Schizosaccharomyces pombe: one gene and its partners. Changing the gene in region 3 together with the main gene of any one other region gives a genetic interaction. Each region holds a gene or a part of one and is shown on either strand. Other genes may lie near its edges.

What was found. Genes that interact genetically often act in the same process or in processes that back each other up.
Region 1: mutations in SPOM_SPAC144.17C (region 3) and gld1 together harm fitness more than expected from each alone (negative genetic interaction), as found in Schizosaccharomyces pombe (one large-scale study listed by BioGRID).
Region 2: mutations in SPOM_SPAC144.17C (region 3) and knk1 together harm fitness more than expected from each alone (negative genetic interaction), as found in Schizosaccharomyces pombe (one large-scale study listed by BioGRID).

The regions. Positions count from the first base shown.
Region 1 is NC_003424.3:2,173,239-2,179,810, reverse strand, and holds gld1 (glycerol dehydrogenase Gld1), read left to right. Parts: upstream 1-3,238; 5' UTR 3,239-3,450; coding exon 3,451-4,803; 3' UTR 4,804-5,170; downstream 5,171-6,572. Other genes in the region: vta1 (Vts1 family protein), read left to right, coding at 329-431, 694-791, 924-1,118, 1,456-2,229; transcription factor TFIID complex subunit Taf7, read left to right, coding at 6,059-6,386, 6,428-6,572. UniProt on the Schizosaccharomyces pombe protein: Glycerol dehydrogenase involved in the assimilation of glycerol.
Region 2 is NC_003423.3:678,501-686,209, reverse strand, and holds knk1 (AAA family ATPase), read left to right. Parts: upstream 1-3,543; 5' UTR 3,544-3,583; coding exon 3,584-4,939; intron 4,940-4,971; exon of another isoform or gene 4,972-4,987; coding exon 4,988-5,396; intron 5,397-5,443; coding exon 5,444-5,661; 3' UTR 5,662-6,307; downstream 6,308-7,709. Other genes in the region: decaprenyl diphosphate synthase subunit Dps1, read right to left, coding at 850-1,011, 1,093-2,067; AP-1 adaptor complex beta subunit Apl2, read left to right, coding at 6,576-7,709.
Region 3 is NC_003424.3:4,684,051-4,691,612, forward strand, and holds SPOM_SPAC144.17C (6-phosphofructo-2-kinase), read right to left. Parts: upstream 5,104-7,562; 5' UTR 4,782-5,103; coding exon 4,463-4,781; exon of another isoform or gene 4,413-4,462; coding exon 3,472-4,412; exon of another isoform or gene 3,428-3,471; coding exon 3,338-3,427; 3' UTR 3,052-3,337; coding exon of another isoform or gene 2,512-3,051; 3' UTR 2,252-2,511; downstream 1-2,251. Other genes in the region: COG complex subunit Cog1, read right to left, coding at 1-1,331; cia2 (sister chromatid cohesion protein), read left to right, coding at 2,512-3,051; GDP-mannose transporter Vrg4, read left to right, coding at 6,120-7,157.

The sequences.
Region 1 (6,572 bases), 2.5 Mb from region 3:
GTCAATCAATGAGTTATAAGGCTTATTGAAATCATCATTTTGATATAGAATAGGTAGAGTATGTCAAGACACTAGAAAAATCTGAATAGCGGGGCACAAAAAATGCACGATGAAAACGATGCGACTTGATTCCCCTCAAATGAAAAGAAAGTGTTTGTACGTCAAAACTATTAGTACTAGAGTTTTTTGAATAATTGACTTGATGGTTTTAATACTTGAGTAGACCTAACCTTCATCTACCTTTTTATATCATGTAGCTGGTATCTGTAATCCACCAACTGTCAAACCAAAAGTACAGAAACTTGAAAGGAGAGATATTTGACAAAATATGATACAAATAGATACTATACCGAAGGAATTACAATCCATTCAACCGTTTGTGAGACGATTCAATGAACTTGAGGCACACAATCCTGTCATAGCTTATTGGAGTAAGTGTTTAGTAGCTAAGTGATGAATTTGTAATATGGAAGGGTGTATGAAAAAAAAAATTGGAGAAAGAAAAATATAAAATAATAAAAAAATAACTTAAACCTTTTTTCTCTCTTGTTTACGTTGATGAAGTTTTCATAGTCTACATTTCGCTAGAGGGAATACTACTTTCCATAATACACCCTATTATAAGCACAAAGGAATTTGTTTCATCATTCGAGATATTCATTTGCTTGATTCACTAACTTGTACTATTACTAGGTCTATACTGGGCAGCTCAAATGGCGCTTTCCAGCTCACACGGTGTTTCCAACGAATGCAAGGATTTCCTGCTGTCACTCATTGAGCATTTAGAAGATGTAAGTTTAGAAAACATCCTTTTCCTTTTTTTAAATGTTGGCGAGGGTTTTTTCTCTTTTTTTTTTTTTTTGGATTACGAGACCAACTATGTAAATGTTTCTGTGGTACTAACCGCTCTATGGCGTGTGTAGTTACGTAAAAATTTGGGCGAGAATGAGAATGTGAGTGACGAGACTAGTGCAAAGGCGTATGTTGAATCGTTTTCCCTAGAAGTTCTTGTCCAGGCCGAAAGAAATAGCAAAAACGGGAAACCAGATGTGCAAGCGTATTTGGCAGCCCGAGATTTTCTAGAGTTGTCGAGAATCTGGGGACCACCTACGGAACAGGTACGTGAGTCAAAAACAGCGAGAGCAAGTGAGACGGAATGAAAAAGAGTAACGAGCAGAACTTAGGAGAAAAAAAAAAGAAAACCACGATCAACAAAAATGAAAAAATGAAGGTTCTTTGGAAATTTTTTTATTTTTTATTTTTGTTTTGTCAAAAACAAAATCGTCTTTTCCAATTCACATTACCATGTGTTTTTTTTTTCGACTCGTTTCTTCTTTTGCCATTCTGAGGATTTCCTTCCTATCGGTATTTTTCTCTCTCGTTTGTATTATACAACGATGCTTTATGATGCTTATAACGATTTTTTGTTCCCTACTAACCCCTATTGCTACGTAGATTACCAAGTCAATCAAATTTTGCAAGTTACGTGCGCTCCAAGTCGCAAATCCCCAACGAAAGGCCAAAACACCCTCAAACCACGCGACCGAGGAGTTACAGCAATCTTCCACAAATTCCACAACCCTACCTACGCAAGAAGCCGCCGTTGAAACGAATGCCTCTGCTTCTCATGAAACATCTTTTGCTCTCCCCACTACATCTCCAGCAGCATCGCTCTCCATCTCTCCTACAAAGTCTGCAGCCGTATCTTCCGAGCCTAATGTAGAAGCAGACGTAAAATCGTTGTCTTCAACACCGGCTGCTCCACAACTAAATTCACCTTCCCATTCATATGAGCCTACCACGTTCCCCTCAACTACATCAATAACCGAAAATTTGCCAACAATAGATCCTACTCGTTCCACTCGCTCTTCCTCGCATATCCAAAGTTTATCTCCTGAGTCAAAGCAAACATCAGATGGGCATCGGCCTCCCTCCCCTACGTCAATCACCACCACCTCCACCTCCATCGATCCGTCAGTAGCATTTTCCAGCAAGTCAACTTTAGCCACAACAAGAACAAATGCCCCTCTATCAAGGCCATCTCAACCGACTAAAGCCTCCCCCTTGAACAAGTTTTCCGCCTTGGAGGCTATCCAATCTGCTCGAAGTCATGCACGCTATGCATACAGTGCATTAGACTACGAAGACACAACGACAGCCATTCATCATCTAAAGTCGGCACTAAAACTTTTGGAGGAAGAGGAGCAGGGAAATCATACTGCAGACTAGAGGAAGAATGCTGGGGCTGGAATGGAGGGGATCTCAATGAGACAATGGGAAAAGGTGGGGCAGATACCAGTAAAATTATCTATCCATCTTGGGGAGAAACAATCTAATTGTACCACTCTCCCCACTATTCGTCTCTCTTAATGTTTGTTTATTTGTTTGTTTTTTTTTTATCCACTTTTTTTTCTTCAAATGCTTTCTAATTGTAGCAGGACCCCGCCTTTCTCTCCACTCTTCCCATTTTCCCTCGCCGTTGAGTGGCACTGCTCATCCCTGTCTCCTCATTTTTTGTCGCGTCATTTTAGCGAGCGTTTATTAAGGAACTGGCGAATGACTGCTGTTGTATATATTTCCCCAGATTTTCAGCAAGTAAGCTTTTGTCTTGTACTGCATACCACGTTGTCTTTCTTGCCCCTATGACGCAGTTATGAGACCAACGAGTCATGGGTTTATCCTGCCTCATCTTTTGTTACGTTATTTTCCTGTCTGCTTGGGTTTGGCTTCCGCAGTGGGGAACTGGCAATTGCGGTGGATATGTGTGGTGTCATCGCCCTCTCATCAAGTTTATATGTAGAGGGGCAGCGCTGAATTCTTTGCTCTTGGTTATTGCTTTCGCAGTTTTCCATATTTCCCCCATCCATCCATCCATCCATCCACCTCTTCTCTTCTCTTCTTTTTTTAACAGAATTGCTTTTTCCATTGTAAAATAAAACCATAGCAAGTTTTCACTACCACTTGGGTTTTTTTTTCTTTTCTTTAATTATTTTTTTAATCAACTTTCGTTGCTTTAATTTTTAAATATTTTTTCTCTTTTCATTCTTCCTACTCTTCCCGTTTACCGTCGATCGGCTGATTCTAGTTTTGACAATCACCATTGACTACGTCGATCCCTTTTTTTTTGGCCAGCCGAGATCATATATCCCGTTCATTCTTGGAACTTTCGTGATCTTTCGACTGTCTATTGATTCCGCAAACAAGTATATATATACACATATAGTTGTTTTTTCTTTTTGGACCTCTGTTCCATTGCGTTTCTCTCCTTCTTAGTTACTTGTGCTTCTTTACCTATTTCCTTTTTCTTTTTAAATAAGGATTCTTCTGTATCGAAATAAATTTCAAGAAAGGTAAGAACCGTTCCACACGCCTATTCTTGTATTTCTCTTTTCTTCGATTTGATTCGATTTCTATTCGTAACGCTTAGCTAGTCTTTGAACTTCCTTCATAATGATTGGTCCTCGTCTTTGCGCTGCAACCCCTCGCTTCCCTCTCGTTTCCCTCGCCCACAGGAACTCTAAAGTATTTGCGCTCGCCTCTTCCAATGCCGTTGCACAACGTTGGGGCAAACGCTTTTATGCTCCTATTGAAACGGAGACGCCTCACAAAGTTGGTGTAGAGTTTGAAGAATCCAAAGATCGCATTTTCACCTCTCCTCAAAAGTATGTTCAGGGTCGTCATGCCTTCACTAGATCCTATATGTATGTCAAAAAATGGGCCACTAAATCAGCTGTCGTGCTTGCCGACCAGAACGTATGGAACATTTGTGCCAATAAAATTGTCGATTCTCTTTCTCAAAACGGAATGACTGTCACCAAACTGGTCTTTGGCGGCGAGGCAAGCTTGGTGGAACTGGATAAACTTCGCAAACAGTGCCCTGATGATACTCAAGTCATCATTGGAGTTGGTGGTGGTAAAACCATGGATTCCGCAAAGTATATTGCTCATTCCATGAATCTTCCATCCATCATTTGTCCTACTACTGCCTCCTCTGATGCCGCTACTTCCTCTCTTTCCGTCATTTACACTCCTGACGGTCAATTCCAAAAATACAGCTTTTACCCCCTTAATCCCAACCTCATTTTCATCGATACCGATGTGATTGTTCGCGCTCCCGTCCGCTTCCTTATTAGTGGCATTGGTGATGCTTTGTCCACCTGGGTGGAAACTGAATCCGTTATTCGCTCAAATTCCACTTCCTTTGCCGGAGGTGTGGCCTCCATTGCTGGCCGTTACATTGCCCGTGCTTGCAAAGACACTCTTGAAAAGTATGCCCTGAGCGCTATTCTTTCCAACACTCGCGGTGTTTGTACCGAGGCATTTGAGAACGTGGTCGAGGCCAACACATTGATGTCTGGTCTAGGCTTTGAAAACGGTGGTCTTGCTGCTGCTCATGCCATCCATAACGGTATGACCGCCATCCACGGTCCCGTTCATCGTTTAATGCATGGTGAAAAGGTTGCTTACGGTACCTTAGTTCAAGTTGTTTTGGAGGATTGGCCGTTGGAAGACTTCAATAATCTTGCTTCTTTTATGGCAAAATGTCATCTTCCCATTACCCTTGAGGAACTTGGTATTCCCAACGTAACCGATGAAGAGTTATTGATGGTAGGTAGAGCTACTTTGCGACCTGATGAGAGTATTCACAACATGTCAAAGAAGTTCAATCCATCTCAAATTGCTGACGCTATTAAAGCCGTTGACTCCTATTCACAAAAATGGCAAGAACAAACTGGATGGACCGAGCGTTTTAGATTACCCCCTTCTCGTCATAGTCCTCACTTGACCGACATTCATCCATAGGCATTATTTTTATCCCCAGCTTCAATTTTCCCTAGTAAATCCAAAAGAAGAAAAGAAATTTTTAAGCGGGTTTTCTTCATTGATCATTAATGTCCTGAGTGTTTTTTTTTCTATAGTAGTCTTTTATTTCGTGTGCTTCCTTTCCTCTTGGAACTTTTTTTACCTTTTTTCTTTCTTCCTTTTTTTTATTTTTTTAAAAAAGTTGTAAGCTTTTCCCGTTAATCTAGTGATTTAATGATCAACCTTTTCGGCCTACTCCAAAGTTTTTTACGCCCCTTATAACTTCATGAATAATTTGCTTTATTTTTGTTACGAATGAAAAAAATTGTTCCCCTTTTCAAATGAATGTTTTATCGTTGTTAGTTGTATTGTATTAAAGTTGTTCACCGTAATTGATCTATTTGTTACAATGCACATCATCTGTGTTGCTTCCTTTTTTTTTTTTTTTTTTTGCAATCGCTTTTTATTGTGATAGATTTCAAAAGTTTTAAATGTAATTACAATTAATAATGTTCCTATGTTAGAAAACTTTAAATAACTAAAGTGATTTGTTTTCACGTATTATACAATTGTCGCTAGTGGCCTTGTCAAACATTCGTTGTTATTATATTATATGCTAACTCAATATGATTAGTATGCTACAAATGGTATAATAAGTGAGTAAATCCCGGATTCCTAGCTACATTGAAAACCCTTTTTACCTTAACCTTTGCATCGATCAACAATTTCGCGCTTTATTTACATTGTTTACTGTGGGATAAATAAGTAGTGTTGTCAACAATACATTACTCAAGGATACACTACGTTGAGTATCACTATATGACACATGTCCTAATCATTCATCGTTGTATGAAACAGTATTGAGATTGACCTTAATAATAATCTATTAATATTTTTATTATCTGAATACTATAAATAGGGCTACTGCCGAACCTTGTTCCTCAGTTCAGTAGTTTAGCTATGTCGGTGATCGATACTAATGGACTTCTTATAGTAACAAATATACATTGTTAGTTAAACATACCACATACCGCTATACTGTAGGTCGCAAGAGAAACTCACCGCAGTTCTATGAATCGTTAAATAGATACCAAACTGCGTAGCTGACAGGTGTTTGCAGATAACGATTGTATTAAAAAAATGTTGTAAATCACTATGGCTCGTTAGTAGTAGATAACGAGACTCACTTGAAGGTTTAGCGACTTGCTAATCGAGCGTTTGCCAACGACAATTACTCAAAAGGCGGTTTTCGAAAATGGTTAAGCTAAAAATTCGTGCTGTTCAGCCTCCTCCAAATGATTCACGATCTAGCACTCCAGCCACTGGTCCTCCTCCCCCAATTCCTAAAATTAAGATCAAGACACGTGAACCTAAAGGCCCTCGATTGACAAAAATTCGGTTAAAAAGAGTTCGCGAACCTGGCTTAGGATATGATTCAGAAGCTTCTGACAGAGAAGAAGACACTTATATTGAAGAACAAATTATATTACGTCTTCCTCCTGGTGAAGATTGTGAGTATGTTCGAAAAGCAATTGAAAATAGGGAAGTGGGACGAGGTGCAGACATATGGGTGAAGTTCAAAGGTAATGACTTGGTTACACTATATTATTATTAACAGAGTTAGATCAAAGAAGAGCGGTTGTTCATGTTAATGGTCATTTGTACGCTGCGAAGTTAGTTGATTTGCCATGCATCATAGAATCTAATAAATCATTCGACAAAAAAGTTATCTTCAAGGCTGCTGACATCTGTCAAATGTTGATAGCTAC
Region 2 (7,709 bases), on a different chromosome or scaffold from region 3:
AGATATATGTTAACATAGTAATTACGATCATCATCTAATAGTCAAATTACTGTTGTTTGACTGAGGTGTACAATGTTCATTAATACATCCAAACTTTTAGCTTTTGCTATGGTTTATTCAAAAAGAAGGTCGTTATATATATTGTTATAGGGGTACTAAACAAAAGGAAACGTTGATACTAACGAAAGTTCATTCGAGCATTGGGGAAAGAAGGAAGGCCCTGTAGTTTTGGTAAGTTTAAAAGCTCAACGCTCAACGTTTATAGGCTATCAAAAAGGTATAGTAAAAGAATACAGGTGAAAATAATTTTGCAGTCCAGGGAAAGCACAGCAAGCTACCGGATAAAATCTGATTCCTAATTTTAGATCTGACAAAAAGTATTACCATAGTTATGCAGCCTTTTTCACCAGATATAAGTAATGGACAAACTTACATGATAGTTGTTATAACGTAAACAGAAAATTGGAGCCAAAATCAGCATCTGACATTTGAGCAGCGAGATCACAAAGACTATAACACTAGTCAAGAATAGTTATTACGAAGTGCTTGGTTTATTTATTGAAGTCCAATTTTTATAGACAGTATCATTAGTGGCTTGCAATGTCGTTATAAAATCATTGCATTCGTTGGCAGTTGTCGTTCACTTTGTAATAACCTGAAATCATTTATGGAAGAAAAACCAATCAAGGCAGCGCATATTAGTAATATTTTCACTGCTCTATTAAGAGCGGTAATTCAACTCGGTCTACCAAAGTCGTATATATAATTAAACCTAATTGTTTTAAATTTTTCGAGAATAAGAAAAAGAGGCCTTTATCTAATAGTTAAAGATGCAGCGTACTAAACTCGTCACTTCTTTCTCGTTATTACTTTATCAGCCAACGCAAAAAGTGCCTTCCTTGCAGGTGAATCAGGGAGACACAGAAGGGAATCTTTGGCTTTTTTGATATATTCTTTTGCCCAAGTGATGGTTTGCTCGATAGCATCAGTGCACTCAACCAAAGAACGAGCCTAAATTATATGTTAGCAATTGAAAATTAACGATAGAGAAAAGGAAATCAAATAAATAAATAAAACTTCAGCTTCTCTTACCCGTTGGATATCAGAAGGATGATTGAATCTATTCACAATCATTGCACCAAGTTCTGGATACTTTTTCCATGCAAAGAGGACGGGAGCTGTAGCCAACCCTAGCTTCAAATCTGCACCAGCCGCCTTTCCTAAAGTATCATCTTTCGACGTATAGTCCAACACGTCATCCATTAGTTGAAAAGCAGTACCAATGCATCGACCGTATTCTCCAGCAGCTGTTGCTACAGTAGGAGAACATTGTCCGAGGATTGTAGAAGCCTTGCAGCTTTTGGAAATTAAACTGGCTGTTTTCAAAAAACTTTTTTCAATATAATAGTCAAAATTTGATTGTTTTATTTCCAAAGATGAAGGATCCATAGTATTTTTTAGCTGCAAAAACTCACCTCGAACCAAGTCTGCTATCACTGTAGCTAACAACTCCGTAACTTGGGGATTTCGAAGGCGGGCCATAGCAGTCGAAGCCCGTGCAAGGATGAAATTACCCGCAAGGATTGACCGTCGATTACCGAAAGCAACATTGCTTGAAGGTGAGCCTCTACGGACATTAGCGTGATCAATCACATCGTCATGCAGCAAACTTGCTATATGGATCATCTCGGTTATTTGTGCTAATCTCAATTGAGAAGGAAGAATTTGACCCGTCGAAAATGATCTTAAATCATCATCATCAATATATTTGTCGCCCACTACGGACCGATCAATACCATGGCACAAGCTTGTAGCTTTGGACATCAGCAAAACAAGAGAAGGACGCATTTGTTTTCCTTGAGCAATGGTATAATATTTAGAACACTCTTCAAGAAATTCTGAATTTGAATTCAGCATTTGACGAATCCCTGGTGAGATTTGTTCCAACTCGTTTTTAATTAAATGTGAAGCATTGCGGTTCGTAGTAGAAAACCGAAGAACAGTCGAACGGACTTTTCCAAGACTCCATAATTTCCTCATATGTTTTAAATATACATACTGAATCATTTCATTTCTTATTTTCAAAAGTAACTAAATGATGAAGTTAGAGTTGGGATGGTTTGTATATCATGGTATTTACCGTGATTTCGCTTAGATATGACGTCGCTTTGATCAGATAAGTTTATTTCAAAGAACGGAAGAATCATTAAATAGTTTGTAAACAAACAAAACATTTTTTAATTATCGTTTTTTCTTCATACCATTCTGATCTTAAGTATTTTTTCTGAAGAATTCTGTTGAGTCAAGCAGGATATTGAGCATCTTCCTCAGAGGCCAAATTCATTATCAAAACTTACAACAGCTTATACATCAAATCAGTTAACAATAAAATTCACAGATCTATTTGCATATGCATCTCTCCCGTGTATCATTTTTTATACGACACAATAATCAAAACAATTTATACTTCCAAATTGCTTCAATATTCGATGGGAGAAGTGCTACTTGGTTGAATACTCAAAAGCAGAATATTTAGATAAGTAAATGAATCTTATACTACAACTAATTTTTTTTTGGCGAAGTTAATATAACAGCTTCAGGGAATCCTCTATATGTGTTGATCTTCCAAGAGTTTCTCATCTTACTTGAACAATTATTGGTTCTAGGAATTTACGAATACATTGTTGATATTTTTTAGGTATTTTAATAGCTTTGTAACACTGCTTTAACAACATAAACATTTCTAAATGGTTTGACATGCGTGAAATTTTAATTGATCAGAAATTGCTTAAAAGCATTTTTACAAGTTTTAGTATTTGTAGGATCATTTAATAAAAATAAATTACGTACTTTTCTAGTCTACAAAACGATTCGCCTGCTAAGATTATTGTCATTGTAGTACAAAACGTTACATTCATATTTGTTTTATCACATTTTGACTTTTGAAGGCTTTTAACGATTAGGCGCCCGACTTTTTTCACCATTCACTTCAAGAATTTAAAAAATAAAAAATTTATCAACATTAAGTGCCATCCCGTTCCTTTCAGACATAGCTGATCTGTTTACATCTCCCGGGCCTCAAGTATTCTTAAAAAAAGCTCTATTTGAGCGTTAAGTTCAACTAGAGAAATTTTTTTTAGAATTTGTAGGTATATCAAAAGATACTTAAATTTTCGCAAATTTGTTCTCATCGAAAACCGCTTGGCTTCTGTTTTTCAGCCAGTCGAAGGCGCTCGATTTTAAAGTGCTCTCTAATCCACACTACTAGCATAGCGATGAAATGATTAATATCGTTAATAATACGTTTTTTGTTGTAAACAAATTTCCGGATTTGCGAATTAGCGGGAAAAAAAAAAGAGTGTGAAAGAAAGATATTTACTCATCTATTGAATCTATGAATAAAATGATTTTCTCCAATACGAATTCCTTATCAAATAGCTTTTGAAGAGATGAAAGAAAACCAGTGGCTGAAAAGTAACAGCGTTACTTCGAACATTCTATGGGATTTTTAACGACAAGACAGCACTTTTGACATTTGAACTTGCCAAAAGCAAAAAAGCCATTGACGAGTCGACTGCGGAAAATGGACTCAGACTTGGATAGAATACTACCGATAGCATCAAGAGCATTATTGTGTGAAGGAAATAGGGATTGGGCTGGTGCGTATGTGAGTTACTGCAAGGTTTTAGAGGAGATGAAGAAGTCGTCGGCAGCTCGCGATCGCATGGGATTGGGACCTTTGACGGGCGCAGAGGCATGTTCTTGGAACGGGCTCTATGACAACTGTTTGAGCAAGGCAAGCAAGCTGCGTAAGACGATTTTGGAAAGTGAAATGGAAAGGCAAAATTATCAACTTGCAGCCAAACTTTCAAAGAAGGCGCCCGTTGATCTTCACCCCTTACGTCCAGTAAGATCTCAAACACCTGCGTATACCCCCATGACTACTAGGATGATGTACAGACAGACGAGAGGTGCGCAGTCGGAGGTAAATTTATCTACGCCTAAGCAAATATATTCCAAGCATTCGCCTCCTTCTACCTCCACTTCATCCATTGTTTCTTCTTCCTATGGAGATGCACCTTCTTATCTGGCACCCTCTAAGCCAAACCGTTCTCCACCCCTCAAACCCGAAGATCCCTTTGCCTCTTTCAATTCTTCTGCTTCGGCCATTGCTGCTGCTTCTAAGAGTGCTGCCGCTTCTGCTTCTGCTCTTTCTTCTGATACAGGTCGTTCTGCTACCATGAATTCCACCACTTTTCCTACCGCTATGAAAAGTCAGTCTACGACTAAACCGACGCTTTCCAATTCGGTATCTAGCCCTTCTATTCAGGTGTCAAACAATCAAAATGCTAACAATAGCACTCCCCTCTCCTTCCATGCGCCAATTCCTCCACTCCATGTTCCTGCCGTCCCCCTTACGTCTGCATCGCATTCATCCAGCGATGGAAAATCGCGCAAGCATCCTAGCCCATATAAACCATACTTAAACTCTTCTCATGATACCCTTGGTTCTTCCACTCGACCGTCTTCCGCTGACACAGCCGGATCACCTGCTACATCTCCTCCGGCAACCGCTGATTCTAAGACAATTGTGTCAAAAACTATCTCAGCTAGTACTACTCAACAAACTGAACCTCTTCAACAGACCACTCCTTCAAGTGATTTTGAATATGCTATTATGAATGAAATTATTTCTAACCATGAACCTGTCTACTGGTCGGACATTGCCGGATTAGATGACGCTAAAAATTCCTTGAAAGAGGCAGTCATTTATCCGTTTTTACGCCCGGAACTTTTCCAAGGATTGCGTGAACCCGTACAAGGCATGCTTCTTTTTGGCCCCCCTGGCACCGGCAAAACCATGCTTGCTCGTGCTGTTGCGACCGAAGCGAAAGCCACATTTTTTTCGATTTCGGCTTCATCATTAACCTCGAAATATGTAAGCAAGTTTTATATTTAACCCCATTCTTAACTAACCTTGATTTAGCTTGGTGATTCTGAAAAGTTGGTTCGAGCCCTTTTTGAAGTTGCGAAGCGCCAGACATGTAGCGTTATCTTTGTTGATGAAATTGATTCCATTCTTTCCGCTCGTAATGACAGCGGTAATGAGCACGAGAGCTCTCGTAGATTAAAAACAGAATTTTTAATTCAATGGTCTTCGTTAACTAATGCGGCTCCGGACAAGCAAACTGGTCACTCTCCCCGTGTTTTGGTGCTGGCAGCTACAAATCTTCCGTGGTGTATTGATGAGGCTGCTCGACGCCGATTCGTTAAAAGAACCTATATTCCGTTACCTGAAAAAGAAACAAGATATAAACATCTTTCTCATTTGCTTCATAATCAAGTACACTGTTTGACGGAGGAGGATCTGGAAGAACTTGTCAATCTTACCGAAGGTATGTATATAAATAATTCGATTGGTTAGTTAACTAACGCCATCTAGGTTATTCAGGCTCTGATATCACTGCTTTAGCCAAAGACGCAGCAATGGGTCCTTTAAGAAACTTGGGTGATGCTCTACTTACCACCAGTGCAGAGATGATACCTCCGATCAGCTTGAATCATTTTAAAGCTAGCCTTCGTACTATTCGTCCAAGTGTCTCACAAGAGGGTATTCATCGTTACGAAGAGTGGAATAAACAATTTGGTTCGCAACGTTAAAACAACTTTGTAGAGTATTCTACCTTTAATATTTTCAAGAAATCATATATTCTTTTGCATCAAAAAGGCAGGGTATCCTTTAATTTATTCAAACTTCCTTTCTCTCTTTTTAATTTTATCCTTTAATGTTTCTTAACGAATCATTTGGGTATCGTTTTTCTGGATATTATGAGAATTACCGTGCATTTAGGGATTGAATCGTGGATGCTGATTTTCATGTGGTTTCAATAACTTTCTTTTGCATAAACTTGGCTTATTACGAATTTTAATTTCTGTTTACCTTCATTTTATTTTCGTCTTTCCTACAACAACTAAAATGTATTCGTGATTTGACTATCGCTATAAACGACATTTTAAATCATAGCCGACTTGACAGCGCCTTTTACAAATGCTCCCCTTTTGTATTTTCCATCAATTCTCTTTATTTTATTTTTTCCATTTATCGTCATATTTATTTCGTTTACATACAGCCTCAACCTATTGGGCTACTTTTTTTCCCTTCACTATTCTCCAATTTTGAACAATAATTATTAGTTATTTAATGTTTGGAAAAGGGTATTGCTTTACTTGAATCGCATTTTTACGGCAATTAACTTATAGCTTTTATTGAAATAACATTTCAACCTCTTGTTTGTATACTGAATTAAATGTTTTAAAATTTATTTAAAGGTCATAATAGTAGCGTTTAAAGCATTGCAGGTTGAAAATGAAATCATGAATATATAGAAATTGGATTTCAGTATTCGATATTGTCACCTTTGTTACTTCTGGGAGTGGGTGTTTCTCACCGAATGGGTTTGACTTGACATGATTATTGAACCACTGCTTTATATATGTAAACGTGTTTTTGACCTTAGGACGTTTACCACCTTTAAAAGAGCTACATAAAGAGCGGAATTATACAATAGTACCGAATGGTTCCAAAGTTGTTTCAATCGAGCCGTTTTAAGGCATTTAAAAAAAGCGAAACAAGTGAATTACAAAAGGGACTAGTTTCTCAGTATGCCTACGAGAGAATTGATGCTGTGAAACGGACTATTGCCGCAATGACTGTTGGCAAGGATGTGTCTAGTCTGTTTCCCGATGTTTTAAAGAACCTAGCTACTCGCGATATCACCTTGAAAAAACTGGTTTATTTATATCTAATTAACTATGCCAAAACACACCCTGATCTTTGTATTTTAGCCGTTAATACTTTTGTAAAGGATTCTGAGGAATATAATCCTACTTTACGAGCTCTGGCAATTAGAACTATGGGTTGCATTCGGGTAAATAAAATCATTGGCTATTTGGCAGATCCGTTGCGAAAAGCTTTGAAGGATGAGCATCCCTATGTTCGTAAGGCTGCAGCGGTTTGTGTTGTAAAGATGTATGACCTTGATCGAGAATACTGTGCATCAAATGGTTTCATCGAACAATTGCAGGCGTTGGTATCTGATCCGAATCCTGTGGTTGTGGCTAATGCAGTCCGCTCACTTGCTGAAATTCATGATCAGGACCCTGAAAAGGGATATTTTAATGTAGTTTACACGATGACAGACAGGCTAATGGTTGCTTTGAGTGAGTGTAATGAGTGGGGTCGGATTACTATTTTGAATTCTTTAGCTAGATTTCGCACTTCTGATATCAAGGAAGCTGAATATGTTTGTGAAAGGGTGGTTCCTCAATTCCAACATGCAAATAGTGGTGTCGTTTTGTCCGCTGTGAAAGTCATAATGGTACATATCCCTCTCTTTTCCAGTGACTTTACAGACTTTCTGTACAAAAAAATGGCTCCTCCTCTTTTGACGCTACTTTCTACGGACTCAGAAATCCAGTATGTAGCCTTACGGAACATTAATTTAATATTACAAAAGAGGCCTTCTATTTTTGATGTCAAAACTCGGGTTTTTTTCTGCAAATATAATGATCCTCTTTATATTAAAATGGAGAAACTAAAGATAATTACAATGCTTGCATGTGACGAAAACATTAACGAGACCATTTCCGAGCTTCGAGCGTACGTTTCCGAAGTTGAACTAGAATTTGTGAAACAAACGATTAAATGC
Region 3 (7,562 bases):
TGAAGTTTTTTCAAAACTTGCAGCGATTCATCTAAAACCATATCAAATGAAGCCAGTGACTGCCAGAACCTCTGAAAGCCATCGTCCATACCACAAGCGGGAAGTATATTCTGTTTTAGCTCATTTAAAACTTGTTGCTTTAACTGGAAGCTCCAAGGATCAAATGAATTAGTAGGAGGGATTTCGAAACAAATTTGCAGCTTCTCTTTAATCTTGTTCACGTATAGTCCCAAAGAATCGATGATATTTCGAGAGGAAATAATGAAGTGATTTTGCAGTATTGAATTCCAAAGTTCATAAAATTCTTTGAACTGGGGCTCTGATAGTTCACTTAACAAACCTTCTAAAATTTGATAAAGTGTAGTAAGAGACGTGGCGTTAGAAAAGAAAGATTTCTCAGAATGCGAAATTTTTGAAAAAAAACTCAGCTTCCACTGTTGAAGAATGTTATCACCATCAAACTGCTGTAGTGTTTCAAAAGGGGTTGTAACTTTTACATCTTCAGCAGAAAAGTAAGCTTTTAAATAGCATTCATCTAAACATATATTTCTCAGGATTTCCTTTTCCTTAAAAATATTGAAATTCTTCGAAGCTTCTAAATAACTACGTATTTCATTAGGAAAATCTCGAGCTAGCTTCAGCGTGTTCAAAAATGTCAAGGAAAATTCTCTCGCATCATTCAAAATAAGCAATTGATCTTCACATTCCTGTAAAAATATGTCAAGTCCCGAAGATATATTCGCCTGATTAAGCAGAATCCATGATGTGACGACTGAGACCTTTGATAAAGAAGAAGTCATCGCTTGTTTCAAACGATTATTCAGATAATTTTTACACGATTCAAGTCTATTTACTAATATGTGGCATTGGTGGTCGTTTGGTAAATCTGCAGGTAATATTCTTAGGCAGAAAATCAATAGTTTGGACGATTGCAAATATTGCTCCTTATTGAACAATTCCATCACAAACAAGATAGCATGTGCATAAAATCTCTGTAAGAATATAAAATAATCACCAGACGTTTGCGATATACTTTCATTATCGGATAGAAACTTTGAGACGCGATCCACTTTTGGTAAACTCACCATGGATTGAAATTCGTATGAGTTTTGCAAAACTTTCTCCAGATTATTTCTAATGTTAGAGAGATTTTCAGAAGCTTCAATAAAGCTTTGATAGTTAAAGCAAACATTCTGTTGCAACTCTCTTCCTTTCTCCTCAATCTGCTGGCTGACGAACTTTTCTAGTTGAATAGTTTGAGCAATGCTATGTGTTCTAAAAATTTCTTTCCAATTTGAGGAATGTGAAGACATAAGATCCGTTTCTACCATTTTAAAACTACTTCAATGAATAAGTCAACGAGGGATAAGTAATTGTACGGGTAAAAAAAATTTCAAAACAAAGTTCATAGGAAACTGAACATAGGTTGATAAAGTTAGCTGGTTTGCTTATTATTGTTTGTATGTGTAACGTACAGGAACTGCATATAACGACTATAAATAGCTTGCTTATAAACAATTTCCAATACGATTGGGTAAGAAAGAATCAACTATAGGTGTTTGACAAGGCTAGTATTTTGTATTGAATTACTATGAATTTCTGGTATCATAGTAAGTATGTAAATGAATTATGGTCATTTACATGAGTTAGTAAATCAGTTAGTGGGGTGCTCAGCATTTTCGTTAAAGAAATTACCATCGTATTGTTCATTGTCTCTCATTATTTAACAAACGCTATAAAATGCTAGTGTCCAACTATTGACACAGTGTAATTACTACTATCTATTTCAATTAAAATAAAGGCTTAGTTTCTGACTAGCATAGTATGCCAATCTATTGCTTGGATATTGGACTACAACTGTGTGTCTCCCAGTTCTAGGTAGTTGGAGTGATTATATGCCTTTTCTAGTCAGTAATAAATTTTCAAATATCTCGTATTACTTGTATGTTATGAGTATTGAAAGCTTAAGCTGAAAATACAAAACTCACACCCTTTTGAGCATGCAAGAGACTGCGATACTGAGTTTCTCTTGCGATTAATACATTTGTTTATGTAAGTATATCAATCGTAAATAGATAGTAGGCTACAATCAAAATATTGCATGGTGTTTATAATTTAATTTGAAATGATTTATTATTGGTTGCGGAACGTGGGTTTAGTTAGGCCATTTACAGTTTCTAATGTGACTATAATCACTTCAAATAAAGTATGCATATCTACCGTACAATAAGTATAAATACTTAATAAGACATATAAGAAGTACTGATAATTAACGTTCGTAGTCTAATTTACTAGGGGCTTGTCGACACGTAGCATATAGTAAAGTGTTAACGCTAACTGCATGGTAGTTGAGCGTGGCAAGTGCTGACTTTGATAACGCACTACGTAATCCAAAATGACAATTATTCATCCTGAGGTTAATTAAATTTTATGCCTTCCAAAATTCACACTATCGAAGGTGATATTCATAGTAGTCTTTAGTCATTTATTAGTTATTAATTTAAAAAAAAAATGAGTGCAAATTTACAGAACGAAAACCCGGAAGTAAAGGAGTTAAATCAATTGCCATCTAGGGTTGAAGAAGAAGAGGATCTATTGTTGAGTTCTACGAAACAATGGCTAACCGAGATTGAAAGTGAGCAGACTAACATAAAGGAAGAAAGAGATCCAATAGATCCACAAGAAATATACGACCTTCTAGCTAAAATAAATGATCCAGAACATCCATTAACTCTTGCTCAGTTATCGGTCGTCAAATTAGAAGACATTGAGGTTGTTGATAATGTTGAAGGCGATTCTTATATCACAGTTCACATTACTCCAACTATCCCTCATTGCTCTATGTGCACATTGATCGGTTTATGCATTCGAGTTCGCCTCGAACGCTGTCTTCCTCCCCGTTTTCATGTCGATGTGAAAGTTAAAAAAGGTACCCACGCGAGTGAGTCTCAAGTAAACAAACAACTGAACGATAAGGAACGAGTGGCGGCTGCCTGTGAAAATGAGCAACTTCTATCTGTTTTGAATGGAATGATGGCGACCTGTGTTTAAGCGTTTGTATATGACAATAACTTCTTAGTTTTTTAATTTTATCGGATCCCTGGTTGCTGTTCCCTTTATATGGATTGGTATATAATCTTTTTTTTTTGTTCAACGAAATCAAGACCTTTTCTTTCATTTATCACTAAAATATCACTTTACTAGTTTTGATACGACTTACAAGTAGTATTAAATTTTTGTGCACAAACTCACAATTCAATATATAATTGGTCATGCGCATTTATTAAAAACAATTAGCATTTTTTTGTCTGAGAAAACAGACATTGGAAAATGCCATTCATAAGTCATACTCATTGACTGTCATGCCGGTGCTGCTTTCGATCAATTCGTAAATTGAGGATGAAGAAAGGCATAATTGGGGGATATCCTAAATTATTTGTAAGTTGCAATGGACAATGTCAGAAATCTTACCTTAGCTGGTACATTCATATAATAACCGTAAAAAACCCGTATTATGCTTTTAGAGCCGATCAGCAAAACATCACGCTGCTCCCGACCCAATTCCAGTATTAAAGGCTCTAAACGAACAGCCAAATCATAAAATGATTCTTTCCGTTTAACTCTATATCTGTAAGGATCTACAAGGTAAAGATTATACTCTTCTTCGCCATATGTTTCTTTTAATTTCTGTAAATCGTCTCCAAATGAATCCATTAAGATCGGGGAAAGACTCGACATAGATGAGGTAACAGAACCCAGTTCTCGAAATGGACTCATTACAGAGTCCTCCATGCAGGATAATACGTGTAAGTTTTTGAAAGAAACATCTGGGAAAGATTTACGTATACGATCAGCTACATATTCAGAAAATTGGCGATTTTCTATGTCATCTTCTGGTTCTCGTAATTTTAACGGTCTCATAGAAGCTTTCGGCACCAAAAAGATACGTTTTCTCGCCAAAGTCATGTTCATGAGAAGGAACAGTATTCTAGACAATAGGTAACCTTCATTACTTTTGTTTGCGATGATGGTTTCAGCAAAATTAATCATTTTAACAAAGGAATAGTCCTTTTCATCAATGGTTTCATAATGGCATTTGAGAATATCAATTCGACGACAATATTCTTTTTCGGCCATCTCCAAATCCCAATTTCGAAATTCCTCAGAAACATGAATTGCTTCTTGAATATTCGCATTGATGACATCCTCTTTATTGCACAGACTTTCAATAAACAAGATTTTAAACCCGCAATTCTTGAACCTATCATATAAAATACGACGTGTACGTCTAGTACCATTTGTTGCATCGTAAATAGCAACCTGACCTTTCTCTTTAAGTAAAAAAATCTCTAAGTCTGCTAAACATCTCTCAATTGTGTCATTCCTACTAAAAACATGATTTTCTGATGCAGCTGTTATAAGTTAGCAAAGGTACAAAACGTCGACTATAGTTTCAGCTTACCAGATTTCACAGGCGAACTAGTCATTTCCCTAGTGCGTTCGTCTATGTATTTCGCAAGACTGTAAAATCTACAATTAAATCCCAACCACCTCAGATATCTGTCTATCGACACAGCAATATTAGACTTGCCTCTAGCCGGTAAGCCAGACATGATGATTACGAGCTTTCCGGCATGAAAGAGCATACCGCTCTCTGTACTGTAGGGTTGCACACCTCCAAACTTTTCATTATCGAGTAAGGCTTCAGAGCTTCGATTGGCAGCGCGAAGCATGTTTGGATTGATTGCCTGCTCAACCGCAATTGAATTTCTGCGCGACATCGCAACGTCTAATCAAAGCAAGCTGTTTATAATTAGAGTTTTAATATAATATATGCGATTATATATAAATTATTTATAAATTAAATAGGAAGGTCCAAAATCTGATTGAAATGTACTTAAATCCTTTGCAACCACAATGTTTACAATGTGTGCCTTGTATGTGGGTATTTTGATAAATGATTTCCACAAAGGTGAAATATGCAGAATGTTGTTTACAATGAGTGTAATACCAATTCCTACTAAAAACTGCGGTTTGCAAGAGGTCGACTGCTTATATACAGAGAAGAGCTTCTTACAATTGATATGGGCACAATGCTCGTTTAAGACGGATGGCTAAACATCGGTAGTGCTTTACGCAATACATCTGTGGTTGCACTTCGTTAATTAATTTTTAGCAAAGTTAAGCGTGCCCTAATATACCGTACATATCTGCAATTGGAAACGCCCATAGGAGTTTAAGATGCGTAGCTTTCTAATGGTGGGGTATTTTCGCATACTTATACTACATGTTTTGCATTTGCAAGTTCAGTTGATTTTTGATTATTGAAAGTGGCATTGAGAATTACTGAACACTTCCCAACAACTCATAGATTTTTTTAGCCAATTCCATGATTAAAACATGCGAGTACCTAAACGCATGTATATTATTTTATAGTTGTACTTCATCAATCGTCTTCTCTGCGTCAACACTTCTTTCTGCACTTTTACTTTTGAAATAACGTCTTAATAGCTATTATGGTTTAAAGACTAGACTATTATCTACGAAAAAGCGTTTGTAAGTAGCCCACATTGCATTCGTTTATAAATTTATAGTCCAATTGAACGAAACGAAAGATCCATGTAGAAAGGTCATTGTCTATACGGTTATACTCCAATCATCTATTATAATATGAGTCAATTCCCTTGCCTCTCTAGTTCCAACAAATGCTTAAATTGTATATGTATCTGCATCGCGACTTTATATATGATCGACTTCGACTGGAAAACGATCTTCATACACTAAGGAATTTCACAACAATTCAAACACAGCTTTTACAGTAAATGCTCATACTTTGTTGTAAAACATATGAATTGGTGTAACATTAAGTGTGGCTTGCAGGCGAAAATACTCTTTTATAGATGAACAAAAAAGTATTTAAATAATTATATTTTATATGAGAAGACCAAGTTATTTAAGTTTGATCAACAGAGATGTTAATCAATCTGTATGCCAAAACTTGTTACCAATGGACTGTGTCTTTGAGGAAGGGTAAGGCCTGTTACGTACGCGCTCCTTCCAAACATGGTGGGTAGGTATGTAGACAACTTCACCGGAGCCATCACGAAATTCCAACAACAATGGATAATCATATGCTAAACCGAATTAGTAAATCACCGATTCTTCCAGTGGTGTCATATTGCATGGCTTCCATATTGATGACTTTGACCAATAAATATGTTCTTTCGAGTCCTGGTTACAATATGAACTTTCTCCTTTTGACTGTACAATCCACTGTTTGTGTAGCAGCCATTGGGATACTAAAACGTTTGAAAGTTATTAATTATAGGGATTTTGATTTTCGTGAGGCCAAATTTTGGTTTCCTATTTCCTTTTTATTGGTAGCTATGATTTATACTGCATCGAAGGCTTTGCAATTTCTTTCTGTTCCAGTGTACACTATATTTAAGAATTTAACTATTATTATCATTGCTTATGGTGAGGTCCTTTGGTTTGGCGGGCATGTTACTGCTTTAACTCTTTTTTCTTTTGGATTAATGGTTCTTTCTTCTATTGTCGCTGCTTGGGCAGACATCCAGTCTTCCTCATTTGCTTCCCAAACCTTAAATTCTGGCTATTTATGGATGGTGCTTAACTGTCTCACAAATGCTGCTTTTGTTCTCGCGATGCGTAAGCGTATCAAACTTACCAACTTTCGTGACTTTGATACCATGTTTTATAACAACTTACTCAGTATCCCTGTTTTGGTTATCTGCACGCTCTTTACTGAGGACTGGAGTGCTGAAAACATTGCTCAAAATTTCCCTCCTGATGCCAAATTTGGTGTTCTAATGGCTATGGCTATTAGTGGTGTTTCTTCAGTAGGAATTTCTTACACCTCTGCCTGGTGTGTACGCGTAACTTCTTCGACAACTTATAGTATGGTTGGTGCTCTTAACAAACTTCCCTTGGCTATTGCCGGTTTAGTGTTTTTTGATGCACCCATCACTTTTGGATCTGTTACCGCTATTTTGTTGGGCTTTATTTCTGGTGTTGTTTATGCCGTTGCTAAATCTCAACAGCAACGTCAGAAAGATCCTGCTACCATCCTCCCTATGACTCATAATCCCGTTAGTGCTAGTTCTCAAAGCATGCGCGATAGTCTGTCAAAGTCTTAAACCCTTTGTGTTGGTTATTATTTATGTTTAATTTGCAAAATTTTTTCAAGCCTGCATAAGAGAATAGACTTTGTTTCTTTTTACTTAAAAAGTTTTTATTACCGTTACTCAAAATATACCGCTTTTACTCGTGTTCGATAAAAACCTGATTACGAGATCGTGTCGTTTATTACAACGTGACTATTAGGTTTGAAATATTTTGACAGATAAAACACTGACATTCAATTACAATTTTTAGACCTCTATTATTTCATTTCCTAAATCATTTGCTTTTTTTTTCTAAATATCATTTCTTTCTTTAAAATGCTCTCCGATGGAAAAAGGACGTCTAATGTTCTTATGTCTTCGTTTCCTTTTACTGAGCTTCTAAACTATTGGTTGAATGTTTGTCAGCCGCTTGGAGTC